Pelodiscus sinensis: one gene and its partners. Each later gene encodes a partner of the first gene's protein in a complex. Links are inferred from orthologs where the notes say so. Each region holds a gene or a part of one and is shown in the gene's direction. Other genes may lie near its edges. The genes, in order: NUP98, NUP85, NUP93 and NUP107.

Region 1 (7,353 bases):
ACAGCCCAGCAGGGCAGGGGATGAGTCATTATGCAAGGAGGCTTCGAACCTGTCTGACCAGTTATCTCCCAGGGAGTGGAACAATGGGAAGAAGGAGAGTGGAGCCCTGGCTGGGGGCAGGGCTGGAAGTGAGTTAGTTGGGTTTCTGGCTGGTATCATGAAGGAAGCAGCCTAGGCAACGGGCTGGGATTTAGGGGCCCAGGCTCCCCCATCTCAAGGGGGGGCTGAGGCATCCTAGGTCTGCCCTGTAACCAGATTACATATGTGCTGTGCTGTATCCTGGAGAAGCAATAAACTCTCTCTATTCTACTGGCTGGTGGAGTCTGTCTGTGCCATTACGGGGGTGCAGGAGACGGGAAAACCCCGACGCGCCATCACACTAATACTTTAACGCAAAAACTTTTGCGTTAAAAGTATTTGTGCAAAATCATGCCAGTGTAGACGTAGCCCAAAAGTATAAAATTAGTGCTTTTTATGCCAGATCTCTGATGCTCCCGCTCAGGAAGAAGCCCTTTTGTGCAATAGCTCTTTTAGAAGGCTGTGTCTACACTGGTGCAATCTTGCACAAAAGCAGCCGCTTTCGCGCCAAAACATGCTGCCTGTCTACACTAGCCGCATGTTCTTGCGCAAGAACACTGACATTCTAATGTATGAAATCAGTGCTTCTTGCGCAAGAACTATGATGCTCCTGCTCAGGAATAAGCCCTTTTGCGCAATTGTTCTTGCGCAAGAGGCCAGTGTAGATAGGCAACATGAATTTCTTGCGCAAGAAAGCCCTGTGGTTAAAATGGCCATCAGAGCTTTCTTGGCAAGAGAGCGTCTACACTGGCATGGATGCTCTTGGGCAAAAGCACATCTCTTGCGCAAAAGCACATGCCAGTGTAGACCCTCTCTTCTGGAAGAGTTTTTGCACAAGAACTCTTCCGCAAAAGAGTTCTTGCGCAAGAAGCTGCCCGTGTAGACATAGCCTGGCAGCTTCTTGCGCAAGAACTCTTTTGCGGAAGAGTTCTTGTGCAAAAACTCTTGCACAAGAGAGCTTTTGCGCAAGAGCATCCATGGCAGTGTAGACGCTCTCTTGCGCAAGAAAGATCTGATGGCCATTTTAACCATAGGGCTTTCTTGCGCAAGGAATTCATGTGGCCTGTCTACACTGGCCTCTTCTGGAAGAGCTCTTGCGCAAGAGGGCTTCTTCCTGAGAGGGAGCGTCAGAGTTCTCGCGCAAGAAGCCCTGATTTTCTACAGTACAATGTCAGTTTACTTGCGCAAGAACATGTGGCCAGTGTAGACAGGTGGCATATTTTTGTGCAAGAGAGGCCATTTTCACGCAAGTACGCGCCAGTGTAGACACAGCCCTTCGTTTTAAGGACAGACCTAAAGCAGACTCCATGACGACTCTTTTTGCTAATCCAATGGAAGCTGGAATCCTTTGCCAGTCGAGGTGGTGGCTAAAGAGTTGAAATCACTAAGAGCTGAAATCACTGGTTTGGCTGGGAGCCAGACCCATTGCAGCCAGTGAAGCAGTGGGCGGCTAGTAGGACCTGAAGCGGCCAGTGGAGTGGCTGGTGGAAACGACTGGCAGGCGGCCGGTAGGAACAGCGGCAGGCGACCAGCGGAGCGTCCGGTGGAGTGGAACGAGACAGCTGGTGGAGCGGCTCGCGTTAAAGACTGCAGCAGAACCCTACGGAGAGGTGGGGCCGTTAGCTTCGGACCATGTAAGATGCCACTATCTATCTCCTTGCCCCCATTTCCACCCAGGTTGGGAGGTAAAACCCTGCAGGTGACCTTTTGGACTCTACGTGGCACTGAGCAGGGACAGAGACTTTTGGGGTGTCGGACTTTGGGACTTCGGGTGATTCTTGGCTGGAGTGGGGCTTAGCTCACGTTTGGGCTGTGAACTCTGTTTGTGGTATTTTTCCAAGTTAATGCCGTATGACTTCTCTCTCTCTTTCATTAAATGTTTCTTTCCTACACTCAGACTCTATGCTTGCGAGTGGGGAAGCATTGTCTCTCAGAGGTGCCCAGGGGTGTGTGAATTTCCCAGGTTACTGAGTGGGGGCTCGAGCCGGTTCTGTGTGAGATGGACCCCTAGATATTGAACCCAGCCCCGGTTGTTGCCGGGCCTACCTGGCAGAAGAGTTACACATGCATCACCCTGCACCTCATGGTTCAATTAGAATATCTCTATCCGTTATGCTGTCATTTTAGCCCATTTCCTGAACCTGAGTTGGTATCTGTCGGGAGTGTGTGGGTACGAAGATCCTTTTTAAGGAGGTGTTGTTACCATCCTTCCTGAATGTGCTTTCAACTTATGTCTAGTACCAATTACTGTTTTACATCTTGTAACTAGTGCCAATTACTGTTCTACACCTGTGCTTATTACTAATTAGTTTTTTACACTCTTGGCCTTGTTGTTGCCAAGTTCTGTGAGCAGGAGCCTGCCTCTTGCTCACAACTTCGCTTTGCTTGATATTAGCAAGGTCTTAACCATTGTTACTCAGGTCTCAAACAGTCCTTAATTAATAGACCTGCTTACGGAGGCTCTGATGTTACCAACATTTCCAGCCATGTACAAAGATTGAATCAGGACCCCAGCATATTTTTGGGGGGCCCAGTACAAACTTGTAACATGGGCCCTCTCCCACACAAATACCACAATTTGTAGCCTGAGCTAGGCCCCTCTTGGCCTCCAGACCCTAGTTAAGTATATCTTTCCCCTCCCGTCCCCATGTGAGGGTGAATTCTTCCCTCTTGCAAACCACAATCCTCCTTCCAAGTTCCATGCAGATTACTATATATTTCAAACAAAAGATTGGGGGTTGGGACTGGGTGTTCCCAGGCTGTGCCACTGACTCACTATGTGAGACCTTGAGTAGGTAACTTCTCTGCACCATGTCTCAGTGTCCCCAGCTCTGAAATAAGATTAGTAATACCAAAGAAAACAGTATAAAATCTGGTGGTGCACATATGCACATGCCTCAGTGCACATAACATTTATTCCACATACAGATGGGAAAAATCTACCCATGGATGGAAAAGATTAGAGGGGACGTTAGTGAGGTAGTATCTTTTATTGGACCAAGCTGGTCTGACCTTGCCTTCTAATATCTTGGGATCAATATGACTATCACAACACTTGCATTAGTTCACAAACACCATTATTTTGCTCAGCACACAGTGAAAAGCAGGTGGGGCCCCTGTTCCAAGAAGCTGAGAATATAAAGAACTCCCTCCTGCAAGCTTTTATGCACAGTTAACTTTACCAGGTGTAGCCCCATTGAAATCAAACCTGTTTAGCCACTTTTGCGGTTGAGGCTTATTTGTTTTTGCAAAAATAGCTCTGGCAGGGGCATTGCATTACAGGGCTTCCTTGGAAAGGCAGCACAAGTCAGTGACTAGATGTGGTAGTGTGCTGAGGCTATGGGAAGGCAGCACAGGCTGAGGTTGCAATGGGGAAGGTAATGAAGGCCAGAGGCTAGGGTGTGGGTTTGGCTGAGTGGGAAGCAGTAGGAGGGGTTCTCCTTATCCATATGCAGAATACGCGGCCGTGAAGGGCACCTGAAAATTTGGGGCACCACTTAGTCTTAATGTTCACCCACTTGTCTCTTCCCATCCTTGTTCTGTGGCTCTGCTTTCTCAGGAGAGGATCTAGTTGACTTAAAAGTGAAAAAGCCTGCCAGAGCGATTAGCACAACACGGAGCCTATCCAAGTGGTAATGAAGACATCGAACCAGTTGTGTTAGTCTGCAGGAGCTTAGTTTAAAATCTGTTTTAAAAGTATTTCACGAGAGAGTTGCTGGAGATTATAAAATCACATCTCTACAAAAATCATCATCCCCGCTGCAGAGGGGCACCAGTGTAATAGTACTGCCCTGGGGCCTATGACTCCTAAGGGAGAGTCTGGTAGCAGGGCTGGGGCAGTGCCCACTGTGGGGCAGGCCAGGGACAGGGACACACAAGGGGAGCTGCTGGCTGGTTACTTTGGAAGGCACCCGGACCACGTGGCCCATGTCTTTTCCCCAAGAAAACACAGGCCCAGCCCCGGTTGCCATGGTAACGTGGTGCTGCCGTGTGATTGGCGGGCGCAGGATTAAGCCCCTCCTCTTTCCCCGCCCTTTAGAGAGGTGACTCAATGACCCGGATGTGGGGAAGAGCGCCGCTGGAAGAGGACGGAGTCTGGGCCAACCGCTCTCATGTTGACCAATGAGAACTCGTGTCGCTCGTGACGTTCGAAACGTCCCCTTCGCCAATCAGCGGAGGCAGCCAGGCGGAGGCGGGACCTGCCTCGGTTTCAAACGGCGGCAGCCAATAGGCGGACGGAACGGCGGGCTACGCGGGCCAATAGGGCGCGCGGGGAGGCGGGGCGCGGCGGCGGGAGGTGGGAGCGCGAGCGGAGTGTGACGCAGTTTCCCCTCCTGTGAGGCGACGGCGGACGGGTGGGCGTCGTGGCGGTGCCGTTTGCTGTCGGCGCGGTCGAGTCGCTCCCGTCGCGGGGCCCGGGTCCTCGGTAAGGCGCGGGCGGGGCCGCGCGGCCTCTCCAGCGGAGCCCGGCGCTTTTCTGCCGCTCGCGGCTCGCCCCAGGCCGCCGCGCAGGCCGCGCGCCTCGCTTCCTCCCGCCCGGGGCTGGTCTCCAGGGGGGCGCGAGGCCTCCCCGCGCGCTCCGGCCTGGCGCGTGGGGGCTGCCCAGGTTGCTGCGTGCCCGAGTGCGCGCGCGCGCTGCTGAGCCCGGGGGGGGCTCCCTGGGGGCACAGGATAGGCGCGTGGGGGAGGGATGGTGGCAGGGCTGTCTCCTCTCCTCCCCCCCCAGAGCGCGGCGGGCTTGGCGGTGACCCCCTTAGGGCGGCCCGGGGTTTGTCTTTGGGGTGCCCCATGGTCGGGATGCGCCTGGTGATGGGCACCCTCCCGAAGTGGGGGGGGGGGCGTTACTTTTGGGGGGGGGGTCGAGGCGGGCGACTCCCCAGAGTGAGGTGTGTGGATGGTGCAGTGGTGTATTATTAATAGTCTCGTGGCAGGCAGTGTGTCCGGTGAAAACAGCTTGAGTTTCACCGTCTGCTGACATAGTCAATGGGAGGGCAGCGCTAGGACTTCTCTCTCTGAACTCTGAATTCTCTTCCCTTCCCACCCCCCAATCAGCCAGGATGGTTTGGAGACTATTAATTATCCCTTTGTGTTGGGCTCTGTTGGGGAGACTAGCCTCATATTTCAGATGCTATTGTGTTTTTGGATGTTCCAGAGGTAAGAGTATAGTAGACTTCTGATAATCCAGAACCTATGGGACCTAGGTGGTGCCAGATTATTGGATATGCTGGACTATCAGGAGGTACTATAAGATGGTTGTGTGTGTGTGTGTGTATATACACACACACACACACACACACACATAGTATACATTATATACTGTATATAAAGTGTTCTTAACCCTTTTTATTGTACAGACTGTATACTGTAATGTTTTAGTTTTTTTTAAGCCTTTTTTTACCCTTTTTGCTCAGTTCAGCTGCTGCTGCTGTTACCTTGTAACTCATTTTTTGCCGAAGCTCATTCATTAGGCTCTTGCCATTTTGATGCCGGACTATCAGGAGTACCGGACTATTGGATGCTGGACTGTTGGAGTTTTACTGTAATTTTGTAGCACGAGTGAGATGGGGAACTTCCAGCAAGGCCCTGGAAATCATTTAAGATTTAATGTGCTTGGTGTCATAAAAGATACAAAAATAAACTCTTAGCCAATAGTGACTTGTGTAGTAAAAATTCCTAACTGTCAGGGTGGTCAAATATTGGAATAAATTGCCAAGGGAGGTGGTGGAATCTCCCTCTCTGGAGATATTTAAGAGCAGGTTAGATAGACATCTGTCAGGGATGGTGTAGACGGAGCTTGATCCTGCCTTGAGGGCGGGGGGCTGGACTCTATGACCTCTTGAGGTCCCTTCCAGTCCTATTATTCTATGATTCTATGATTAAAGCTACAGATGGGATGCGGTGGGAGATAGGGAAGGAATACAACTTTTTCTTCTCTTTAGCTGCTCACTAGTTAAGAATGGTACTATAACTTTTAAACAAGGAAGAAGAATTACATGGAAGGGTGGATTAATGTTCATCTAAGAGAAGATTTAGTTAGGTTTAGATACAAGAATACTTTTAAGGGAGGATGGGGAAAGTCGGTTATCTCCAACTCCTGCTGAAGGGAGCCTGGTTTAAAAATGAAAATTGATAGATTACAGGCAGTCCCCGAGTTAGGTGGATCCGACTTACATTGGATCCGCAGTTACGAACGGGGTTTGCTGCCTGTCTCCCTGGTCTCCTCTGCCTCGGGCTTCCTGTAGTCAGCGCTGGTCAGTTTCAGCAGCGGCTGAATCAGGACGCCTGGGGCAGAGCAGCTTGGGTGCTGCTGGGTTGGTCCAGTAGCGCCGAGGAGCGGCGCTACTGGAGCAACCCAGCAGCACCCAAACAGCTCTGCCCCAGGCGTCCCCAAGTCAGCCGCTGCTGAAACTGACCAGCGCTGACTACAGGAAGCCCGAGGCAGAGTTGCTCTGCCCCGGGCTTCCTGGAATCGGCCGCTGATCAGTTTCAGCAGCAGCTGACTTGGGGACGCCTGGGGTTCTTAAGTTGAATCTGTATGTAAGAACTGGTGTCCAGATTCAGCCTGTTGAAACTGATCAGCTGGCTGATTCCAGGAAGCCCGGGGCAGAGCAACTCTGCCTCGGGCTTCCTGTAGTCAGCGCAGGTCAGTTTCAGCAGCGGCTGAATCTGGATGCCAGTTCCGACTTACATACAGATTCAACTTAAGAACAAACCTACAGTCCCTATCTTGTACGTAACCTGGGGACTGCCTGTAGTTGTATGTTAGCAGAAGCTGAGAAGCCCTTCGGTTAGATAAACTGAAGGTATCTTAGTAGTAGAGGAAGCTACTGCATTCGGTGCAAGGGAGAATTGGAAAGACAAGTGTCAAGAGACCTCAGATGGCAATGGTCTCTTGACAATGGTAGCAGTCACCTGTAAGCCATACGGGGAAAGAGAAGTTAAATCATAGAAGCGGATGCAGCACTTTTGATTGTCAGTGTATGGGAACTATGGCAAAACTTAACTATCAGGTCAATAGAAAGTAAACATACTTTATTTTCAATGTATAATGAGGAAAAATAACAAGGATATACAGGTTGAACCTGTGGTCCGGGACACTCTGGCTCGGCAGAATCCATAGACTACGGTTTGAGGTGGCTAGGGAAGGGGGAGTGGGTCTCAGGGCACCTGCTGGAACCCCTTGGGCCGGGGCAGCAGTGGCAGGTAGCTTGTGTGCCTCCTGCCTTCTCCCTTCACTGGTCTGGAAAACCCTTGTCTGAGACGGGTCAGCTGTAC
Region 2 (7,848 bases), on another chromosome or scaffold:
CCGGTAAGCCAATGGGGTCACCTACCATATTTGCTTTTCTTGCTCTGCATCAGGATGGTTTCTTCCCATGCCTTTAATAAGGCTTCTTGAAAATACTGCCAGCTTTCCTGGACTCCTTTCCCCTTCATGTAAGCATCCCAGGGAATCCTGCCCATCAGTTCTCTGAGGGAGTCAAAGTCTGCTCTTTTGAAGTCCAGGGTGTGTATTTTGCTACTCTTTCTTCCTTTGGTCAGGATCTTGAAGTCTACCATCTCATGATCACTGCTTCCCAGCTTGTCACCCACCTCTACTTCCCCTACTTGTTCCTCCCTGTTTGTGAGCAGCAGGTCAAGCTGCACATGGCCCCTGGTCGGTTCCTTCAGAACTTGTACCAAGATATCCCCAACATTCTCCAAAAACTTCCTGGATTGTCTGAACTGCTGTATTGGTCTCCCAACAGATGTCAGGGTGATTAAAGTCACCCATGAGAACCACGGCCTGCCATCTGGAAGCTTCTCTCAGTTGTCCAAAGAAAGCTTCATCTACCTGATCCGGCAGTCTATAGCAGACACCACCCACAACATCACCCGTCACTTCCACCTCTAAATTTAACCTATAGACTCTCGACAGTCTTTTCTCCCTCTAAGTACTGGAGCTCCGAGCAATCATATGCTCTTACATACAATAGAACTCCTCCTTTTCTCCCCCGCCTGTTCTTCCTGAACAGTTTAGCATGACTGGAGCACTGTCATGGAAGGGTATAGTCATCCCACCTTATCTCTGTGATTCCAATCAAATCATAGTTCTTTGAGTGGGTCAGGGCTTCTAATTCTTCTTGTTTGTTTTCCAGGTTTCTCGCATTGGTGTACAAAAACCTTAGATAACCAGCTGATCGCCTTGCTTTCTCCATCTAAAAGAGGGGTCCTCCTTTGTTGCTCGTTCCTCCTTGTGATTCTTCCCAGTGTCCGACTTCCTCACTTACCTCAGGGCTTTGGTCACCGTCTCCCAATGAACCTAGTTTAAAGCCCTCCTCACTAGATTTGCAAGCCTACCCATGAAGATGCTCTTTCCTCTCTTGGTTAGGTGGATCCCATCTCTTCCTAACAATCCTTGTGCCCAGAACAGAGTCCCATGGTCTAAGAAACCAAAGCCCTCTGACACCACCTGTGCAACCACACATTTACTTCCTCAATTTGATGATCCCTACCCAGACCTTTTCCTTCAACTGGGAGGATGGAGGCGAACACAACTTGCACTTCAAATTCCTTTATCCTTCTTCCCAGCACTACATAATCTGCTGTGACCCGCTCAAAGTCATTCTTGGCCATATTGTTAGTTCCTACATGGAGAAGCAGGAATGGGTAGCGATCCGAATGTTTAATCACTTTCGGAAGTCTCTTGGTCACATCCTGAATGCAAGCTCCCAGTAAGCAGCACACTTCTCGAGATTGCAGGTCTGGACGACAGATGGATGACTCAGTCCTCCTTAGGAGGGAGTCCCCAACCACCACCACCTGTTTTCTTTTGGGGGTGGTAGTCGTGGAACCCCCATCCCTCGGACGAGGCATCCCATGCCTTCTGGTAGATGGTGTTCTCTTCTAATTTCTTCCCTGAGAGATCCCTGCCAAAGCATTCTCCACCGCAGTGCTGTGAAGAAAGCCTGAAAGCAGTTACTTACCTCTACAGGAATGGGGGATACCTGAGTTGGCTTTCTCCTTCTAGAGATGACATGGTGCCAGTTTTCTTCCTTGTCCTGTACTGCCCTGACTGGCTCTTCAGCCTGCTGTGCCTGCAGGATTAAATGCTGCCTTCTATCAAGGAAGTCTTCATCCTTTCTGATAGAATGTAGGGTTGATACCTAGGCTTCAAGTCCTCTAATTTTTTCTTCTAAAATGGTGACCAGCTTGCACTTAGAGCAGATGAAATCCATTCTTTCTTCCGGGAGGAAGACTAACATGGCACATGCTGTGCAGGTAACAACAGCAGACCTATCACCATCCATACCTGCCTTCCTTCTGAGAGTATCCTCAGATGTTATTAAATGCCTCCTTGAAGGGCAGGAGAGAGAAAAGAAAAAAAAATTCAAGGAAAAGAGCACTAAACACTATGGGGGTCTCCTAGGGTGAATTCCCAGGCCAACTCCCAGGTTGGCTGCTGCTCTCTGCGTTTGCTCTGGCTGCCTTTTTAAGAAGGCTGAGGCTAGGCCTGTCTCAAAGCCTTGCCTCTGATGCAATCAACCCCTGAAGGCCCACCAGAGCTTAGGAAGTTTTGATAATAGTTTAGTGAAAAGATTTTTTAAGAACGGTAAGATTTTTTTTTTCCAAACTCCCTCTCAACTCCCTGTTATCAGCCCCTGTTATGATCATAAATGGGGAGGCCTGTCCATAGTACAGGGTAGCAAGGGATGGAGGACTACACTCTACCTTAGAATCATAGAACCATAGAGCTGAAAGAGACCTCAGAAGGTCAAGTCCAGCCCCCCACTCTAGGCAGGACCAATCCCAACTAAATCAACCCAGCCAGGGCTTTGTCAAGCCGAGTCTTAAACACCTCTAGGGATGCAGACTCCACTCCTTCCCTAGTTAACCCATTCCAGTACTTCACTATCCTCCTAGTGAAATAGTTTTTCCTAATATCCAACTTGGACCTCTCCCACCACAACTTGAGACCATTGCTCCTTGTTCTGCCATCTGTCACTACTGAGAACAGCCTCCATTCTCTTTGGAACCTCCCTTCAGGAAGTTGAAGGCTGCTATCAAATTCCCCCTCACTCTTCTCTTCTGCAGACTAAACAGACCCAACTCCCTCAGCCTCTCCTCAAAAGTAATGTGCTCCAGCCCCCTAATCATTTTGGTTGCCCTCCGCTGGACCCTCTCCAATGCGTCCACATCCTTTTTGTAGTGGGGGGCCCAGAACTGGACACAGTACTCCAGATGTGGCCTCACCAAAGTCGAATAAAGGGGAATAATGACATCTCTGGATCTGCTGGCAATACTCCTCTCAATGCAACCTAATATGCCATTAGCCTTCTTGGCTACAAGGGCACACTGTTGACTCATATCCAGCTTCTCATCCACTGTAACCCCCAGGTCCTCTTCTGCAGAACTACTAAACTGGTTGGTCCCCAGCTTGTAACTATGCTTGGGATTCTTCTGTCCCAAGTGCAGGACTCTCCACTTCTCCTTGTTGAACCTCATCAGATTTCTTGTAGCCCAATCCTCCAATTTGTCTAAGTCACTCTGGACCCTATCTCTGCCCTCAAGCATATCTACCTCTCCCCCTAGCTTAGGATCATCCGCAAACTTGCTGAGGCTGCAATCCATCCCCTCACCCAGGTCATTAATAAAGATATTGAACAAAACCGGTCCTAAAACCAAAGCTTGGGGCACTCCACTAGAAACCGAACACCATCCGGACATCGAGCCGTTGATCACTACCCGCTGGGCCCGGACTTCTAGCCATCTTTCTATCCATCTTACCATCCATTTAGCCAATCTACATTCCCTTAACTTGCTGTCAAGAATATTGTAGGAGTCCATATCAAAAGCCTTGCTAAAGTCAAGGTACATCACATCCACTGACTTTCCCACATCCACAGAGCCAGTTACCTCTTCATAGAAGCTAATCAGATTGGTCAGACACGACTTGCCCTTTGTGAATCCATGCTGACTATTCCTAACCACTTTCCTCTCTTCCAAGTGCTTCAAATGGATTCCTTAAGGATCCTTTCCGTGATTTTTCCAGGAACCGAGGTAAGACTGACTGGCCTATAGTTCTCTGGATCGTCCTTCTTCCCTTTTTTGAAGATGGGCCCTACAATTGCCTTTTTCCAATCATCCATGATTTCTCCCAACCTCCATGACTTTTCAAAGATAATGGCCAAAGGCTCCTCAATGACATTTGCCAACTACCTCAGTACCCTCAGATGCATTAACTCCGGACCCATGGATTTGAGTACATTTAGCTTTTCTAAATAGTTCCTAACCTGTTTTTTACCCACCACGGGCTGTCCATCTTCATCCCATCTTGCATCACTTAGCGCATTAGTCTGGGAGCCCACCTTGTCTGCGAATACAGAGGCAAAGAAAGCATTGAGTACTTCAGCTTTCCCTTCATCATCTGTCACTTAACACTCAGAGACTCAAATACCTATATCTGTGTGCAGAATTTACCACCTACAGCATGAATCCAGGTATGGAGCAGGTTAAGCAGTTGCTCCATTACACCAATGTATGCCATCATCCCCACCTATGCAGCTGGAAGGAAGAGAGGCCAGCAGTGGGAGAGCCCTCCAGCTCTGCTAGCACAACTCTCCCACCCCCTTATTTCTGGATCCCTACACACCAGCATGATGTTGCCACAGGCTGTTTGGACTGAGCATGACACCGCCTGAGCCCACCCGCGAGAGCCATTGCACCGCCCTCCCCCGGGACTAGAGCAACGCCCCAGGGGCTGCCGCTCCAGCCTGATGGGCAACGTGAGGGCGCCCCACAGCCAGCGACACCGCCACCCCGCGAGCAGCTGAGCCGAGCCGCCAGCGTTAGGGAGGGACGAGCAAAGAACCCAACCCAATGAAGCCCAACCCACCCCCACCCCTCCGAATGCATTGACTCGGGCCGCCTCTCCCGCTTATATAGCTTCGCGGGGTCCTTCCAGCGCTCGTTGCGCCATCGGGCTGTCTATTGAGCGCCTGCCCCCCATTTCAACATAAAAGCCCCAAAAGGGAGAACTTACCCTCACCCTTTCCAACACACGCAATTCCCCCCCTTCCTAAGGAGCTAGTCGAGAAGCGCAGCTGCAGCAATGTGGCCCAGGTGGCGTAGATTTGTGCAGGCACCGCAGTAGTCAGCTCCGAACTAGGGGCCTCTCTCTCTGCCTGGCGCCCTGAGTGCAGGCGGCCTGTGGTGGCGGCAGAGCTGCTTCGCTTCCGCTGTCCGGCCCCGGCCTGGAGAGCGCGCTGGTGGCATGGAGGAGCTGGATGTGGAGCCGGCGGTCACTGTACGGCAGAGCGAGTCCCTACCTCTGGGGAGGCTGGACCCTCCTCCCCCTGCCAGAAGCTCTGGGGCGGGGGAGGGAACAGGCGAGGGGGGGCCTGCGGGGAGAGGGGCGCGGCTGTGCGGGGCAGGGAGCTGTTGTGCCTCACTTCGGCCCCTCCCCCGTACCTGTGCATTACTGATTATCTCCCTTTGTTAGCACAGATGAGTCCCCCGCGCAAAAAAAAAAAAATGCAATGATCATTAGCGCAGTACCTAGTGCTCTACAAGAGAGGGTAGGATCATTATCCCCGTTTTACAGATGGGCAAACTGAGGGCATCTCTCTTGTATCTGGGAGCAAGCATCCCAGCTTGGTTAGATAGACTTGTGCTAATGGGGCCTTGCCCTAGTGTGCTAAAAATGACTTTGTAGATATTGCTTTTACATTATGGCTCTCAAACCCACCCCATCCTCTCCTGGGGTTAAGAATGCGGGCTGCAACACTAAACAGCTAATTTGAGTTTGCTACTGTGGGCCCCACTACCACAAGCTTGTGGACTGAAATTGGGAGGCTGCAAGGGAGACATACTCTGAAAGAGGAAAAGGAATCCCGCTTGCTTGCTCTGTTGTCATAGAGAGCAGCCACATGCTTGATAGTCCCTCTGCCTTCTTTCCTAACAGCTGATTCCTGGAGTGGACTCCAATCGGAAGCAGATGTGTTTTGACTGGGGACCTGGAGAGATGCTGGTGTGTGAAACTTTGTTCCCAAAAGGTGGATAGCTTCTCTTTCATTTTTGAATGCTTGTCTTGGGTGGATTTTACTAAATATTAATGCAGAGCAAACTGGAGTATTGACAACCTCTAGGCTACGTCTACACTGGCCCCTTTTCCGGAAGGGGCATGTTAATTTCACCTATCGTAGTAGGGAAATCCGCGGGGGATTTAAATATCCCCCGCGGCATTTAAATAAAAATGTCCGCCGCTTTTTTCCGGCTTTTAAAAAAGCCGGAAAAGAGCGTCTACACTGGCCCCGATCCTCCGGAAAAAGCACCCTTTTCCGGAGGCTCTTATTCCTAGTAGGAATAAGAGCCTCTGGAAAAGGGCGCTTTTTCCGGAGGATCGGGGCCAGTGTAGACGCTCTTTTCCGGCTTTTTTAAAAGCCGGAAAAAAGCGGCGGACATTTTTATTTAAATGCCGCGGGGGATATTTAAATCCCCCGCGGATTTCCCTACTACGATAGGTGAAATTAACATGCCCCTTCCGGAAAAGGGGCCAGTGTAGACGTAGCCCTAGTGTTCAGAAACTGTAAATTAGATCCCAAAATAAATTAGCTTAAAATGAGATATTTGAAAATAAGCGTGGGGTTCTTTTTATTGCCTTTTAAAGAATTTGGTGTACGTTCAGATCATGTTTTTCAAGTTTTATTTTGCAACGAGAGCTAGAAACTTCTTGGCCGGTCATTTGATTCTAGGAGTTGAGGCTTCAAGAACACCACCAAATGATGTGAGAGTTAGCAACACTGTTAAACAGCTAAGAGCTGGGTGAAGAATTCAGTCACATTTGTGCACATTAGACTCATACATTCAGTCACAGTAAGCATACATGATCAGACTTAGGAATTATATTGAGCAGATTTGAATTTTCATTATCACATGCAAATTATTAAGGAATTTTGTGGAATTGAATATTACAGAGGGTCTGATATTTTATTAATAGTTTTGTGCCTCTTGTCCTATTTTTGTGCTGACTCCTAGACTTTTTACCAAATAAATTTCCAGTTAATATGTTAAGAACCATTACTGTAAGTACAGAAGTATATTACTATCCAATAGGACTGAGATTCTGCAGAGCCATAGCATTCATTTGGCTATTTTATGGTTTACATGCTTCATTTCAGGACGTGAAGAGAAAGGGCTAGGCTGCCCCAATATTTTCATTGTTCGCAAAGATCAAGATGTGTACTCACAGACATTACGCAAACTCTTCAATGAATCCCATGGGATTTTTGTTGGACTACAGAAGAGTGAGGAAGAATTGGCTGGGAAGTCAAAGAAGGCACAGTGAGTAAACAGAAATGCTAGATACTGTTGAAACAAAAAGAGAACATGTCTGCTTCCCTGTTCCCCATGGAGATCAGTAGTGAGGCATAATTTAGATGTGCCACTTAATAGTGGAGGGCGAAGGCAGGTTGGGAATAGTTCCGTCAGATCTGTTTCTCAAATAGTGTTGCATCTGTGCATCTTGTTAGGTTGGTAAGTTTGTGAGTTACCAAAGGTACAATTCATACAGTATATACCTTTGTTCATTGACTGAATTTAATAAAGAATATCTTGATTGTTCCTTTTATTTGTGCCCACTCTCCTTTACTGTTGATCTCTACTGCCTCATCTGTAGATACGAGGTAGGAGAGCAAATCCCCTATGCCTTTTACAGATTGTCTTGTTAGAATGTGAGGTAAGGTGATACAATAATTATTCTGTGCAGAAAATGACCAGTATATTGTTCCCCTTCCTCTACCAAACATATAAATCTTTCTCCAATGAGTGGAATAATGAAACTGAAATTCTCTTAGCTGGTGAGTCTCAGTAATATTGTGTAACTAATTTTTCCTGTTACCATTTTACAAAATTTGGCCCCAATCCTGCAAATAGACCTCTATGCCTGTGTAGAGCCCCACTGACTTCAGTACAGTGCAGGAGAGATCTGCCTCTTCAGAGAAACTTGTAGGATTGGGGCCCTACTATCCTGTAGGCACAAGACTAACAATAAATAAATCTCTCTAAACAAGATTTTTGTATTCTTCACAGATTGGTTCTAGTGAGTAAAAACTACCGTTCAGTCATAAGAGCTTGTATGGAGGAGATGCACCAGTTGGCTAGTAAGTTATTGTTCTCC
Region 3 (8,010 bases), on another chromosome or scaffold:
AGTGACGAAAAAGTTAAGGAAATTGGCCTCTTATAGGAAGGTTTTGGAAGATGAGCTGTTGGAGGACCAATCTGGATGTGAAATATTGCTTGTCTGTAGAAATATTTTTAAGAGGAGGTGGACAGAATCATAAAACTGGAAGGGAGCTAGAGAAGTCATCTTGTCTCCAATAATGGTGATTCCATAACCTTGCTATGCAATTTATTCCAGTGCTAAACCTGACAGGAAGGTTTTTCTAATAACCAACCCAAACCTCCCCTTGCTGCAATTTAAGCCCATTGCTTCTTGTCCTATCATCAGAGGTTAAGGAAAATATTTTTTCTCCCTCCTCTTATAACAACCTTTTAGGTACTTGAAAGCTGTTATCATATTATCTCTTTTCCAGACTAATCAAACTCAGTTCTTCCAAGCTTCCTTTGTAAATCATGTTTTCTAGACCTTTTATCATTTTTATTTCTCTTTTGTAGACCTTCTCCAATTTGTCTACATCTTTCATGAAATGTCACACCCAGAACTGGACACAGTACTCTATTTGAGGTCTAATCAGCGCAGAGTAGACCAGAAGAATTACTTCTCATGTTTTGCTTACAACACTCCTGTTAATACATCCCAGAATTATGTTTGTTTTCTTGCAAGTGTCACATTGTTGGCTCATATTTAGCTTGTGATCCACTAAGACCTCTAGATTACTTCCTACAGTACTTCTTCCTACACAGTTATTTCCTATTTTGTATGCATGAAAGATATTGTTCCTTCCTAAATGGAGTACTTTTGTCTTTCTTCAATTACATCCTGTTTACCTCAGACCATTTCTCCAGTTTGTCCAGATCATTTTGAATTATAGTCGTGCCATCCAAAGCACTTGCAACTCCTCCCAACTTGGTATCATCTGCAAACTTAATAAGTGTCCTCTCTATACCAATATCTTACTTGATAAAGATATTGCACTGGTTCCAAAACTGATCCTTGTGAAATCCCACTCGGTATACCCTTCCAGCATGACTGTGAACCATTGATAACTACTCACTGGGAATGGCTATCCAACCAGTTACGCACCCACCTTATAGTAGCCACATCTAGATTGTATTTCCCTAGTTTATTAATGAGAAGGTCATTCAAGACTGTATTAAATGCTTCACTAAAGTCTAGTTATACCACATCTACCACTTCCCCCTTATCCACAAAGCTTGTTATCCTATCAAAGAAAGCTATCAGGTTGGTTTAACATGATTTGTTCTTTTTGCAAATCCATGCTTCCTGTTACTTACTACCTTTTTATCTTCTAGATGTTTGCAAATGGATTCCTTAATTATTTGCTTCATTTTCTTTTCTAGTACAGTAGTTAAGCTGATTGGTCTGGAGTTCCCTGGGTTGCCTTATTTCCCTTTTTATAGATGGACACTATATTTGTCCTTTTCCAGTCTTCTGAAATCTTCCATGACTTTTCAAAGATGACAGTTAATCGCTCAGATATCTCCTCAACCAGCTCCTTGAGTATTCCATTATGCATTTCATCAGGCCTTGCAGGATCAGATCCAGGGATTTCAATAACTGAATAGTCCCTATGCTGGGATGCAAGGAGGGAGCCTTTTTGAACCCACACTGTCACCTTACAAATCTGTGCCAATTTAGTCCATACTAATGGCTTGGAGTCTTGGTTGCATCTTGCAGGAAATGGGAGCTATTAACCAAACCCCAACCTGGAATTCTTTCTTCCTAATCAAATTGGATGGAAGAACAATCTTATGCCCAAGCCAAGGGCAGGGAATCTCTGTGTATTCCTTGTGTTTCCTGTAATTTTGCAAATCACTATTGTGCACTATAGAAACTTTAAAGGACTGCAGAAAAAAGAAAACATATTAAGAAAAAAATCCTCCCTCTACTATCTTTATGGTAGACAGTTGGTATTTTGAAGTAGGATGCTGGATCCAGTGTCCTTGAAGGCCAGTGTCTGATGCTGGTATTATGAATGTCAGACACCAGACGATCACGCAGCTCCATGTCACCAGTGAGGCAGACAGCATGAAACAAATCCAGATGGCAAGGTAAAAAACTATGAGGCAGGAGGGAAGGACAGCTGTTCTCTGGCTGCCTTTTAAATAATGTTGCTGATCTTTCAACAAAAGCACTTAAAAGCCTTCAAACAGGCAGCATCTTTAGCTATTTAACCCTCCGGCAGCAGCCAAAACTAGTAAAATGAGACTGGGAGAATCTGCTCATGAAGAGGATTTGTTAGCGTTGGCAAGTAGTGCATATCTGGAGAGAGAAAGGGGGAAGCAATCACTTTCTTATACTCCCTTGGCTATGTCTAGATTGCATCCCTTTTTCGTAAAAGGGATGCAAATTAGACGTATCGCAATTGCTAATGAAGCAGGGATTTAAATCTCCCCCGCTTCATTAGCATCAAAATGGCTGCCGCTTTTTTTCAGCACGGAGCTTTGCCGGAAAAAAGCGCCAGTCTAGATGCAGATCTTTCGGAAAATAAAGCCTTTTCCGAAAGATCCCTTATTTTAAGAGGGATAAGGGATCTTTCGGAAAAGGCTTTATTTTCCGAAAGATCCACGTCTAGACTGGCGCTTTTTTCCAGCAAAGCTCCGTGCCGAAAAAAAAGCAGCAGCCATTTTTATGCTAATGAAGCGGGGGAGATTTAAATCCCCGCTTCATTAGCAATTGCGATACGTCTAATTTGCATCCCTTTTACGAAAAAGGGATGCAATCTAGACGTAGCCCCTTGTGTGGCAATTTGATGTATTTGTGATTCCACATGGCACAAGAGGGGCATCATTAATTTTCACATTGTTAAATGAAACAATTATTATGCCTGGATGCCATAAACTTATGTATTCTAAAGGAAGATGTTTACAGAAGAAATTCAGGATGGGGTTATGTTGGAAAAAGTCCTTCCCTGAAATCAGCCAGGCTGTAGGGTCAGAAATAGATTTCTAACCTTAGGGGTTTTCTAAGGGAATTTCCACAGCCCACCAAGTGGGTAGCACCAGCTAGGAAGTGGGCATGGATGGGGCAGACGACTAAATCAGTGATTCTCTTCAGTAGCCTTAGCTAGTACAGCTTCCTTAGGGTATGTCTGCACTAGGAGATTATTTCAAAATAACTAAATTCAAAATAATAACTTCTGAAATAAAACCAAAGTGTCCCCACTACAGGGGAGTCTTGAAATTAGTATAAGGCAGGCTCCATTGTTGTGGACATGATACCTCAACTTTGAGCCCCAGGAAGCACTGGGGAATATTACTTTGAATGACTTTAGGGAGCAGTTATTTTGAAATAGCAGCAGTGGAGTGTCCACAGTAACGCTATTTTGAAATAACCATTATTCTTCGAGGAAAGCAATACAGATTTTGAAATAACCAGGCCATTGTTTTGAAATAATAGGCTTGGTAGTATGGATGTTTCGCTTATTATTTCAAAATAAAGAGGGTTATTTTAAAATAACTTCTTACTGTAGATCAGGGCTTAAGAGTCCTAACTGTAAAACAAAGTTGCTCAATTCCCTAGTAGTAATCTTGAGCTGTAGGGTGGTGATTGTACCACAGTTGCCCATCCTTTGAATGCCTGTGGTTAATTTACATCGCTCTGCAGCAGCCCTCTGGAATGTGGCCATACATACAGCTGAAAAGTGTATAAATGGGACATTTTTGTTAATTCTTACCCCCATACCAAACTGAACTAGAAACTAGGAACCAAATCCTTCTGCCAGTCGTGTGATCCAGCAACTCCCCAGACCAGAGAATCCCTTCTGTTGGCATAGGTAAATGCTATAGCAGCACACAGCACAGGGCATGGTGGGCATAAATCAGGAGTAACTCCATTGCTGTCACTGCAGCACACGGCTATAAGGCAGAGGGACCCATGCTCCTTGTCTGCCTAGTGCGTGGGTGAGCAATAATTTTTGGAGGGGGGGCCACTTCGAGATTTTGGAAAGCGGTGAAGGGCCACACTTTTCTGTGGAGGGCATACAAGGTCCAGGATGGAGGTTGGGCACAGAGGGTAAGGGACTGAGGTGCAGGAGACAGTGTGAGGTCTGAGAGGAAGTTTGGGCAAAAGAGGGAGTTGTGACCTGGGTTTGGGGATAGGGTCAGCGAGGGGTATGGGTGCAGGAGAGGGTTCTGGCCTGAGAGAGGGGCACTAGAGCTATGTCTACACTGGCGGGTTCTTGCGCAAGAATGGCCATTCTTCTGTAGAGCATCCATACTGCTCGCCTGCTCTTGCACAAGAAGGTTTACAGTAAAGTGTGGTAAGAGAGGACTTCTTGCACAAGAAGCTCTCTTGTGCAAGAGGGCAGCGTGGAGGCGCAGCAGGGGTTTCTTGCACGAGAAAGCCCTATGGCTAAAATTGCCATCAGAGCTTTCTTGTACAAGAGAGCGTCCACACTGCCATGGGTGCTCTTGCGCAAAAGCACATGGCAGTGTGGATGTGTTCTTGCACCTGCCAGTGTAGACAGTGTAGCCGAGGTGGGGGTGCAAAGTCTGGGAGGGAGCTGTGACCTGGGAGAAGGGGAAAAGGGGATGCAGGCTATACCGGGTGTGGGTAGTGACTTGGGGCAGGGGAATGGGGTGCAGGGTCTGGGAGGGTGTTGGGGTGCAGGAGAGGATTCTGGCCTGGGGGTGGGTATAGGGGGGTACAGGGTCTGGGAGAGAATTGTGTCCTGAGGCAGGGGGGTGCAGAGGGTTAGGATGGTGACCTGGGGAGTTGGAGTATGTATAGGAGGCACAGGGGTGCCAGAGGCTGGGCTCCCTGCCTGCTGCAGCCCCAAATGACTGACAACGGCAAGCTGCAAACACCACGTGGCGCTCAGCTCTGGGAGGGGAAAGAGATTTGCGGGGCTCCCATCCTCCAATCTCTCAGATCTTATTGGCTGGTTGTTTCCAGCCAATAGGAGCTCAGAGATTGCCGGGGTCAGTTCCTATTGGCCGGTTGTTTCTGGCCAATCGGAACTAAGGCTTGGGCTGGGGGCGGGGAGATGGCAGGACGCTTCCCCCTCCCTGCAGAGCGGAGAGAAGCGGGGACTGAGCTCTGTGCTACGTGCCTGGGGGGGTCCCGGCAGGGGGGCCCGCGGGCCGGATCCAGTGGCCCTGGCCTAGTGACCGCAGGCAAGGCCATCAGCCCCCTGCTCAGGCAGCGATCGCGCCTCCTACCCGCCTTGCTTAGTTAATTTCGCCACGTGCGGGCTCTTCCCATCCCAGGCTCGTTCTGGTGCAGGGCAGGCGGAGCGCACAGCGGGCTTGAGAGCGGTGCGTTCAGCTGTTTCTGCAGTGCCAGGCCCCAGGCAACCTCAGGCAGCTGGGCCCCCTGCCCAGCCCCAGCACGGATGCGATGGAGCGGGGCCTAGGCCAGGGCACCAGCTGCCTCAATTGCCGAGGTGCGGATGGATCCGCTCCTACTAGGTTCCCGCTGGGCTCTGGCCAATGGCCCCTACACACCCCGCACCACTAGGGATTTCCCCACCTCGCCCGGCCCCCAGGGACCCCACTCTGGGCCCGACGCCCGCTGCCCACCAGGGACCCCACTCTGGGCCCGGCGCCCGCTGCCCCCCAGGGACCCCACTCTGGGCCCGGCGCCCGCTGCCCCCCAGGGACCCCACTCTGGGCCCGGCGCCCGCTGCCCCCCAGGGACCCCACGCTGGGCCCGGCGCCCGCTGCCCCCCAGGGACCCCACGCTGGGCCCGGCTCCCGACGCCCCCGGGGACCCCACGCTGGGCCCGGCGCCCCGGGGACCCCACGCTGGGCCCGGCGCCCGCTGCCCCCCAGGGACCCCACGCTGGGCCCGGCTCCCGGCGCCCCCGGGGACCCCACGCTGGGCCCGACGCTCCAGGGACCCCACGCTGGGCCCGGCGCCCCCGGGTCCGAATCCCTCGCTAAGCGTTTCAACCAAGCTGAGCTGACGTCAGTGGCGCGGGGGCCGCTGGGGGAGCGGCGCTTCCTCCAATCAGCGCGCCCGGCGCGGAGACAGCGGCTCCCGCAGCGGAAGGAGGCGGCAGGTAGGCGCGAGCTCAGGCCGGCGGGCGGGGGCGCCTCGTGCTCGCGGCTACCCCCACCCCGCCCCCGGCGGTGCCGGCCTGGCGAGGGGCCCTGGGCCCACGGGGGCGCCCGGGGACTGTGCCAGGGGCGCTCCTCGGTCCGGTGGCCTTGGGCTCGTTCCTTAGCCCCTCGGCCGCGCCTCAGGGGATGGGGGCGGCCCGCGGGGCGATGCCAGGCTCCTCTGGCGTGTCCGCCCCTTCCCCGCCGGAACCGGCTCCGCCTGCCCCGCCGCCCGCGCGGGATGTGTCCTGCCCGGTGACCGGGCTGCGGCGTAGCCGGGCGTGTCTCCAGTGTCTCCGTCCGGCGCCTTGCCCGAGGGAGCTAAGCACCCCTCCACACGGGCGCCTGGTTCCCCAGAGAGTCCCGCCCACAGTGCTTGGCACCTGTTTGGGCCCGGAGTACCCAGGGGTTTCTTCATGCGGCCTGGATTGGGCTGGTTTATTGTAGCCTCTGCTTAATGCTGCAGCGCAGCACTACATAGGCACGTAGGACAGGGATCTGGAGGAAAAGTCTGGGATCTAATTGAAACGCCATTTGGGAATGTAAGTAGGTGGAATGGGAGGCCTTGCGGAGTACTCTGTCTGCTGGTAGACTAGTGATAGAGATGGAGCCGGGTTAGTCTGGTGTAGCTGAAACAAAAAACAGGACTATGTAGCACTTTAAAGACTAACAAGATGGTTAGTCTAACGTGATGAGCTTTCTAGGGCCAGACCCAAGTGGGTCTAATAAACCATCTTGTTAGTCTTTAAAGCGCTATGTAGTCCTGTTTTCTGTCTGCTGGCTGCTTGTGTAACCCACACACCTACTGGGTGTGCTGCACTTAGATGCTTAGAGAGAAAGATTGAGTGTGCTCTACTGCCTCAGCTGAAAGCCAGTTGGTCTAAGCTCCAGGGGTCCCCGGTTCAGTTCTGCTGGTGAACCCTACACTTTGTGGCTGATTCTTGCTCATATCTGTGGGGTCATACTAATGGCCGTATGTGGGGGAGAGGGAAAGAATTGTTCCTCAACTCAAATTGGCAATTAACTTGGTAGGGTTTTGCTCCTGCAGCATGAGTGCATGGTGGGGTCACTTGTCACATTTATCTGGGTATATCTCACAATCATTTTCCTGCATTTGTGTCCTTGCTATTCACTGCCTAAGGCACTTAACAGTCTAGTCACCTGTGGGCTGCAATACTTTGGCATAGTTTTGGTTGTTGAATTTAGTGTTCAGATGGGTGGTGGTGATCTGTGATGGATAGGCGGTCCACCTAGATTGCGGTCCTCAATCTTTTTCTTTCAGAGCCTTTCCTTCCCCCAATATGCTATACAAACTCCATGGCTCACTTGGGCTACAACAATTGGTTTTCAGGTATAAAACCCAGGGCTGGCATTATGGCAGGGATGGGCAATAATTTTTGGCCAGGGGCCACTTCAGAAACTTTTGAAGTAGCCCTAGGCCACCCAGGAAAGGATGGGGCCTCAGGTAGAAGGAGTGGGGCTAGGACACTTCTGTGCTTTCCCACCCATAGACCCTGCTTGGTCTGGGGATGGGGGATTGTGCAAAGTTCCCCTCCCCCCGGAGAGAATGGCAGTTCCCTCTAGGTACCTGTGCCTGTGGCAGTGAGAGTAGACTTTGCATGCTTCCCCCTGCTGCCCCCAGGTCAGTCAGGGCCTGGGGAGTGGGAGCATGTGAAGTCTCTTGTTCCCTGCTCGCACCCTGCAAGGGAGCAGCAGCTGGCAGTTGACTTTAAGTACTGAGCCCCTTGCATGGCAGGAGGAAACTTCACGTGCTCCCCTTGCCTCTAATCCCTGATTGGCCTGGGGGAGGGGGGAACTGCGTGAAGTCTCCTCCCACTTTGCCCCTGTCCTAAATGCTCCACGCTCCTTGCAGAAGTGCCGCACCCCTTGCAGGGTGAGAGGAGACTGCCCACTTCTCCCCCTCCTGCAGGCCCTGATTGGCTTGTGGGTTGGGGGAGTAGCAGGCCACCGC
Region 4 (7,986 bases), about 260 Mb from region 1:
CAGCACCCCACTAGCAGCACCACAGAATTAAGGGTGGCAGTAGCATACCATGCCACTTACTACTTTGCTGCTCCCTTCAGAGCTGGGTGACTGGACAGTGGTGGCTAATGACTGAGGGCCCAGCTCTACAATTAGCTGCATAGAAGTAATGTGGTGATACCATCTTTCTGTGCTGCTGCTGGTGGTAGCTTTGCCCTCAGAGCTGGACGCTTAGGGTACGTCTAGACTACATGCCTCTGGCGACAGAGGCATGTAGATTAGGCTACCGGACATAGTAAAATGAAGCGGCGATTTAAATAATCGCTGCTTCATTTAAATTTACATGGCTGCTGTGCTGAGCTGACAAACAGCTGATCAGCTGTTTGTTGGCTCAGCGCGGCAGCCATGTAAATTTAAATGAAGCAGCGATTATTTAAATCGCCGCTTCATTTTACTATGTCCGGTAGCCTAATCTACATGCCTCTGTCGCCAGAGGCATGTAGTCTAGACGTACCCTAAGTCAGCAACTGCCTCTCTTCAGCTGCCCAGCTCCAAAGGCAGCACTGCCACCAGCAGAAGTACAGAAATAAGGGTAGTATTACTGGAACTAGTGTTCCCTATAAAAGATGTGCACTTGTGCAACTGCTCAGGAGAAATCCAAATGCCACCCTGCTGATTAGCAGAGTGCCCACAGCTTGGTTTTGTGTTTCTACTGGTGGTGCAGGTTTGCACATGCCTCAGTGCACATAAAATTTATTCTGCACATGGAAAAAATCTGCACATGGATGGAAAATATTAGAGGGAACATTGACCACAACCCTCCCATACAACCAACACTCTTTTTGGGTCAGGACTCCTACAACTACAACACTGTGAAATTTCAGATTTAAATAGCTGAAATCATTACAATTATTTTTAAAATCTTACGACACTGAATTTGGTTTGTCTACTTATCTCACATAGGTGTTTGAGGCTTTATTTGTAAAATGCTTTCTAGCCCCCAACTGAAGACTAAGATGTGAATTATTACTCTTAGGTATTCATATCTTGCAGAAATGCTCACTTGGTTTCATAATGAGTTGTTGATAAAATAGAAGGGGGGGAGGGGTTAACAGAGTTTACAACTTGTAATAACTGGTAACTTCTTGGGTGGAAAAGGGGTATATATTCATATCCATACTTTAAATCCCAGCTCACAAACAAAATTCTGTGTCTGTACAGAGTCTAGCACAATGAAGTCCATTCTTGTGTGGCCACCAGCCCTTACCATAATAATTTGTTTTACATTATTTATAATTTTCCACTCTGTTGGGATTTTCATTTTAGACTTAATAGTTTTAAAAACTCTGCAAGCATCTTTGTCTGTCCGTTATAAAGAAAAGGCCATTGAGTTCTGTAACCCCTAGGAGTAGACCCATCACCATATGGACAAAATCCGCTACTATCCCCATTGCATTGTAGCAGTGGCACCAACAGCCAACTCAGGTGCTTTCTTGGACGTGTTCCCCCAATTGAGGCAAACCCAGCCATGCTATGTTTCCCTCCAGCTTCTTTTCGACCAGCTGTCTAGCAATGACTACACCATCTATCGTAATTTTTACTTTTCTAAAACTAAAGCACTCAACTATTTGGCTCTTTTGGACAGTTTCATGCAGTGGGATGATAGCTTAATTCCTTGGTACTCTGGCCCTATGTGTCACATTTTTATTTGTACATTAGTACCAATTAGTCTCCACTCTGTTGGGATTTTCTTCTCTCTTCAATTTGCATACAGGACTCACATGAATCAGCATTTGCCAACCTCTCTCAAGGCTCTGATGGTTTCTGTTGTGACTTTGTTGAGTCCTGTTGCTTTTCCAGGTAACATCATCTGCACTGCAGCCTGGACATCTCAGAGATCAACATCCATAATAATTGGTTCACATTACGGTAGTGTAGCATATCTTAAGTATATCACAGTGTTTTCACTGTTACTTACAAGTCTTCTATCACAAGAGGTCTGCTCCCTATATTTATGAATGGTATGTTCCCTCCCTTCCTTCCTTTTTTTTTCCTTGTTCATATGACTGCATATTTTTTTTGAGAGTAGTTGTTGATCTCATAGAGCTTATCTAAATTTAGGGTTCCTGACTGGCTGCTTGCTTGGAAGTTCTATATGTGGCCATGTGTTCTTCCAAAGAGGTCTTTTTTCTTTGCTTGTTAAACTATTTTTTCATGAGACACTGGTCTCCCCAGCTGTTTAACTTCAGATCAAAACATTCTTAGATAGACCACTCTAATTCTGCTGTTACAATTTGTGTACCTTTTGCCTCAAACCTTTCCGCTCTTTCCCTAAACTTATCAACAGTACCCCACACAGTCTCTGTATCCTTGTTCATGTCTCACTGGCACAAAGATCATGCCAGGACCATTTGTCAGTTGAAACTGTACCAGTGGCTTGTGTTGGGATGTGATCATTTTGCTCAACATAAATTTACAATCCATAACCTCCTCCTCTAGCTCATTCAGACTAGCAAGAAATCTATTTGCCTGCTTTTTTTGCTGCTTCAGAAGGTGCAAAGATGACTTTCTCTTCTTTTGAACTAAGTGTCATTTATCCACTGTAGGGATATTACATTTTGACTAATCAGCTAATCTAGTACTCAGTGGATTTTCCGAGTACTCAATTGGTTGATAAGCAATGGGGGGAGGAGGGGGCGCTTGCAATCCCAGCTGCGCCATTGCCTTTTAAATGTAGCAAAAGCTCTGCAGGGTTCTTACTACATCTAAAGGCAGAGGTACAGTAGAGGGTTCCAACTACTGCGCCTCCACTTTTTAAACGTAGCAAGAGCCCCGAGGGACTCTTGCTACATTTAAAAGGCAGAGGGGCAGTGGGGAACTTGGGGCAAGTGGGAACTCAGGCAGTATGGGGTTCTTGCTACACTTAAAAGGCTGAAGTGCAGCAGTCAGACCCGGTGCAAGTGGGCACTACTTGAGTCCCCGCACTTGCTGTTTTCCCCGATTCGCCTCCGCCCCCCTTGCTCCCCCCCATAGATGGTACTGCGGGGAGACGGTTTTTAAGCCAGCTCCCCCCAGCACTGGTTCCTGTTCTTCCCCCCCCTGGCCTCCCTTCTTCCCCCCCGCCTCATATAGAGGCAGCAAGGGGGGAGGAAGCAACTAGTGGAGTAGTGACTCGACTAGTTGCTTACATCTCTAATCCACTTATTACCTGAACCCATCTCTAGCAGTGCAGCCACATTTACATTCTGTAATTCCAGTGCATACTATCCTGTATCTGGTCATAGCCTGATTGACTTGAGCCCCCAGCAATAATTCCTATGGTCTGGCAATAACTTCTAGTTTCTGTAGGCCCTTCCTAACCTTTTCTTCAGGACATTGGTTGTCACCAGCTCTGAGACACTGGCCATTTTGAATGTTTTTATAGGATTGAGACCTTGACACTGACCTTCCCCAGGCCATAGCAATCCTTTGGGAGATATGCCTCAGTGCCATTGACCCCCCTGTAATCACACCTACACTCTCCTCCCCCTACCCCCATTGCCCTGACTTCTGCATCCCCCACATCCTCCAACCCTGACTCCTGGACCCTCTCACAACCAGCCTCCTCCCCCTGCCCCAAGCTCCTGCTATCTTCCACAACAGTGCCACCGCCTGCTGAGCCCCCTACACTGCACCCCACTTTCAATTCTTAGGAGCATTGTCATATCACACCTCCCCCTTTCCTCTGCCCTGAGCCCCTCCTCAGGGGACACAACAGTAAATAAGAAACGTTATTTTCACTGCTTATGGAAAAAAAAACCTTCATTCCACCTGTGCAAAAGGATAACGAAGGGCTGCTCCCAGCACCTTGTCTCATGCTTCCCTCAAAGGCCAAAGAGAAGCAGTTGAGTGAAAGCTAGGAGCTGAGAAACTGCCACTACTGTTGGCCGCACTCCAAGGAAACCAGGTGGCCAATCTGCCATTACTGCGCACATCATTAGGTGCCCCACGGCACACATCAGCATCACTATGGTTTGTTGTAAACCATGCTCGCACTGCTATGGCATCTGCATGGGAAATCAGTGCAGAAAAAGGTGGGAACAGACTGCTTCGCCCTGATCTCATGGGCAGGGACTAGACAAGCCTATGATGGGATGCTGACATCAACCCATAACCACCAGTTGCACAGTTTTGATCACAGCGGGCACCCAGAGCAGAGACCAGAATACAAAGCTACACGGTGCATCGTGCTCCGAGTGGACGGCGGAGTCCCTGACGGGGGCAGGTAGTTCCGACTACATCCAAATCTTCCCCACGGCGAGCACGCGGACCTCTGGACTTTGCAGAACCGGTGACCAGAGACCGACCATCATAGAGTCTCCCTTATCTCCCAGTGTCCACATGGCCCGAGCATTCGCAGGGAATCATTCATCCAAGATCAGGTCCTGTGCTGAAACCAACAGGAGCGCGCCTTGCCCAGGCAAGCCCGAGAGCCTGGCGAGCGGGCAGCTCCCACGCGGCGGAGGGGAAGCCGGCGGGGCTGTGAGAGCAGCAGGCGCCAGGATCTCTGCGGCAGGACTGCGCGCGCAATCCCAGCGCGGCGGCGCGCGCTGCCTTCCTCGATCCCTTTGGGCTGCGAGCTCCGGGCAGCCGCCACGCGCCTGCGCAATGTAAGCGCGCCCTTTCCCCGTCAAATCGGGCGGCCTCGTTCAACTTCCGGTTCGAGGAACGCACGCGCTTCCGGGTCCGGGCCATGGAGAGGTGAGCGCGGCAGCCTAGCGGGGCTCGGGATAGTGGCCGGCCTGGCCCGGAGGGAGCCAAGGCCCGAGCCGGGACCCCCAAGTCTCCCCTCCCCCCACCGGCTCCGCGGCCTGGCGCTCCCCTGAGGCTCTCGAGCGGCGGGAATAGGCTCTTGGGGCCCTTGCAGAGAGACCCGCCCCCCTGCGGCTCTCTCGGGAGTGGCGGCAAATAGAGCCGGAGCCGTAAGGAGCGGGGCCGGGCAGAGCGGTGAATGCGGGCGGGGGGGGGGGGGTTTGACCAGGCCCGAGCGGAAAGGGCTGCTGTGCTCCTCTGCCTGCCCTCCCGCGTCACTCGGGCCGCAGGGCTTCTCCAAAAACAACCTAGCGTCCTGCAGCACCTTAGCGCCTGTCAAAACATGTGGGAGGTGTCATGAGCTATCGGGCGCACAGCTCAGTGGAGTTTAAGGGGTGGGTCTAGTTTTCAAACAGCACAGAGAAGGGAATGGGGGGGGGAGAGGAGGAGAAAAAAGGGAGGGAGGAATTGACAATTAGAGTGTCCATGCTGCATGAAGCTGGTAAGAGTATTTAGTACTCATTTTAAGTACCCTTTGTTTGGTTTTTATCATTAGGATGTGGAACGTGGTAAGAATCAAACTTGTAAATGAAAATAAGTTTTGTAGCTCTGCTCTTGAGCTGGCTTTTGAAATTGGTTTGAAATAATATGGTGACTTTGAGATCCATTAATGAGTGTCCAGGCAAGTTAGACTTAAACTACCTCTGACACTTCTTCACAGTAATTCTTGCTGCTGCCAGGCCAGTGGCTCCCGTCGAGCTAGAGCATGTCTTTTTGATGAGGAATAGCCAGTCTTGATTTTTAAATCTTCCATGGTGCAGATTCAACTATCTGTGGCTGTTTTGTGCACAAATCTCCTTGGTAAATTGTTCTGATGGTCACATACCACTCACTTTTTTTAACAATGGAGATATTTCTACTCTGAATTTGTCTTGTTTCAACTTCAAGTCTTTGCATCTTGTTACATGTTTTAATACAGCTAAATGCAATGTCTTATATTTAGGACCAAGGGTATAGGTCACACTAGAAAAATTGGGATTTGTGTTCTGGAAATCAGGGACTCTGAGAGGACTTAAGAATCATAAGTGATAATTAATTGAACATTTTAATGTGTTTTTAATTTATTTAAAAGGGCAAATGCAGTCCTTGTAGGGGGGATACCAAGTAGGAGCACAGAGGACATATTACCTCTGTATGGGTATGTCTAATCTACATCCCTCTGTCGAAAGAGGTATGTAATTTAGGCAAATCAAAAGTGCAAATGAAGTGGGAATTTAAATATCCTGCACTTCATTTGCATAATGGTGTCTGAGTGCTTTTTTGAAAAAGGGTTTTTTGAAAGTGAAAGCACCGTCTAGAGGCGGTTCTTTTGGGAGTGTGGGGGGAACCTTTTGAAAGAGCCTGTACTCCTCGTTCTCCCAGAGAAAAATCTAACACTGGAAGATTAGCAGGATTTGGAATTTCAGGCAAATATTCACTTTTGCCAGTCTAATTTTGACTATGGAAAAGGCTAGCATCTGATTTAAAATAACATTACAGAAAGGGTTCACGGCAGCTTAGGGCAGGTCTGCCCTACAAATTTATAATAGCACGCACTTCCTTCTAATTTTTTTCACGTATGTGTGGAATGAATTTTATGTGCACTAGAATTGTTAAAATGCGTGTAATTAAGTAACTGTGTAACTGCTGAAAATTTCAGCGGTTACACACAAGGTTTGCAGACAGGCTGGAGTGGTCCCACCTTAAAAGGGGTAAGCAGTTAAACATTATGTTTAACAGTTAACCAACTGGTTAGGATTTTACATCCCTAGTCTAAAACAACTGAAGTTACCAAGTGTTCTGTCTGTAGCTTCTAATATGGAACATATTTACATAAGAAATAGATTAAACAAATCCTTTGCATAAATGTAGCATATTAAGGCTCTTGCACAACATTCTCAAAAGTATTCTGACTAATGGTTGTAGCTTCCACAGCATTATGAGAATCCAGTATTCCACAAGACTTTTTTTTTCAATAAAGGCTATTTCTGGATAGATATTAGTATTTGGTATTTCAGTTTTAAGTTTTTGTTGTTAGTTTCTTTTTTTAATTGGGTTTTGTATTTAGTACCATCCAGTTACTTGCTACACTTCTGATTCTTTTAGGAAACGTCATCTGAATGTGTTTAACTGTAGCAACTGTGTTCCTGTTTTGTAGGAATGAATTTGGAGAAATGTCATCCTCACCAGATATAGAGGTGACCAGGCCTGCTCGGAAACAGAGCTCTAAAAAAAGAGTTTCTAGTATCCTTTTTCTGTCAAGCTTTTTTTCTGTCCTGTTTTAAAAGGTATAAAAGTTGTGATTGCTTCATGCCACAGTTAACTTTTCTTGATTTGGGGTTCAGTAAATGAAGACTTTCCAAAAATTGAATTGTCAGTTGAAGAATATTGCAAAACTTATTCCTTTAATTTAATACACATTTGAAGTCACAAGTTACATTAATGTGTACTTTAAAAATTTGACACTGAGAGTAAAGGAGCCCAACATGTCTGCTGTTGCTGGTAGCTCTCTGACTACAACAGAATAAAACTAACAAGATGCTGACCCTTTTCGCTATTCCAAAGAGCAGCAGGGAATTTGACAGGAATCATGTCAGTTCCATGCTGGTTTGCTTTTAGATTTGCCTTCATGCACTGGAATTATGTATTGAGTAGGAGGGAACCACAAAACAAATTGAGGAAATGGTTGAGGAGCAGAGAATACTTCTCCCTGTTCCCCTCCCCCAAGCAATTAGCAGACTTGTGTAATTAGAGAGCAGATATAGAAAGTTCTTTTTCTTTCAGTGAGGGATGAAATATCAGATAAAGCAGATATATTCTAGCCAAAGGCTGATGTACTAATACCTTCCTAGATCCCTTATGGTGAGTTTCCCTTCGTATGCATGCTCATCTTCACTATCCGCCTCTGTTTAGTAGGTTTAGCCTTAGTCCTCTAGCTATTAAATCTCAGGTAAATATTTCAGGCTTCTTTAACAGGAATTATCTCTTAGCCTTGGTAAATTTAGTGGACTAAGTGGACATTCCCTGTGATATCTTAAGGATTTCTTAAGATGCTGTGATGCATGGGTGGGGAACCTTTTTGGGGGTTTTCAGACCCTCAGAAAAATAGGTTGGGGGGCCACACGCGTGATAAGCAAAAACAAAAAACCCTCACATTGATATGGTCTCTGACTGATA

The links.
Region 2: NUP98 (region 1) and NUP85 share a complex: the UniProt entries of both Homo sapiens proteins name them as parts of the nuclear pore complex. The link is inferred for Pelodiscus sinensis from reciprocal best matches to the Homo sapiens genes NUP98 and NUP85.
Region 3: NUP98 (region 1) and NUP93 share a complex: the UniProt entries of both Homo sapiens proteins name them as parts of the nuclear pore complex. The link is inferred for Pelodiscus sinensis from reciprocal best matches to the Homo sapiens genes NUP98 and NUP93.
Region 4: NUP98 (region 1) and NUP107 share a complex: the UniProt entries of both Homo sapiens proteins name them as parts of the nuclear pore complex. The link is inferred for Pelodiscus sinensis from reciprocal best matches to the Homo sapiens genes NUP98 and NUP107.

What each region holds. Positions count from the first base shown.
Region 1 is NC_134711.1:325,796,610-325,803,962, reverse strand, and holds the start of NUP98 (nuclear pore complex protein Nup98-Nup96), read left to right. Parts: upstream 1-4,347; 5' UTR 4,348-4,504; intron 4,505-7,353. UniProt on the Homo sapiens protein: Plays a role in the nuclear pore complex (NPC) assembly and/or maintenance. NUP98 and NUP96 are involved in the bidirectional transport across the NPC. May anchor NUP153 and TPR to the NPC.
Region 2 is NC_134730.1:12,413,179-12,421,026, reverse strand, and holds the start of NUP85 (nuclear pore complex protein Nup85), read left to right. Parts: upstream 1-4,844; 5' UTR 4,845-4,944; coding exon 4,945-4,977; intron 4,978-5,634; coding exon 5,635-5,725; intron 5,726-6,850; coding exon 6,851-7,013; intron 7,014-7,760; coding exon 7,761-7,831; intron 7,832-7,848. UniProt on the Homo sapiens protein: Essential component of the nuclear pore complex (NPC) that seems to be required for NPC assembly and maintenance. As part of the NPC Nup107-160 subcomplex plays a role in RNA export and in tethering NUP96/Nup98 and NUP153 to the nucleus.
Region 3 is NC_134722.1:43,933,516-43,941,525, reverse strand, and holds the start of NUP93 (nuclear pore complex protein Nup93), read left to right. Parts: upstream 1-5,006; 5' UTR 5,007-5,111; intron 5,112-5,845; exon of another isoform or gene 5,846-5,998; intron 5,999-6,244; exon of another isoform or gene 6,245-6,580; intron 6,581-8,010. UniProt on the Homo sapiens protein: Plays a role in the nuclear pore complex (NPC) assembly and/or maintenance. May anchor nucleoporins, but not NUP153 and TPR, to the NPC. During renal development, regulates podocyte migration and proliferation through SMAD4 signaling.
Region 4 is NC_134711.1:63,434,265-63,442,250, forward strand, and holds the start of NUP107 (nuclear pore complex protein Nup107), read left to right. Parts: upstream 1-4,971; 5' UTR 4,972-5,127; coding exon 5,128-5,165; intron 5,166-5,482; exon of another isoform or gene 5,483-5,631; intron 5,632-6,967; coding exon 6,968-7,053; exon of another isoform or gene 7,054-7,097; intron 7,098-7,986. UniProt on the Homo sapiens protein: Plays a role in the nuclear pore complex (NPC) assembly and/or maintenance. Required for the assembly of peripheral proteins into the NPC. May anchor NUP62 to the NPC. Involved in nephrogenesis.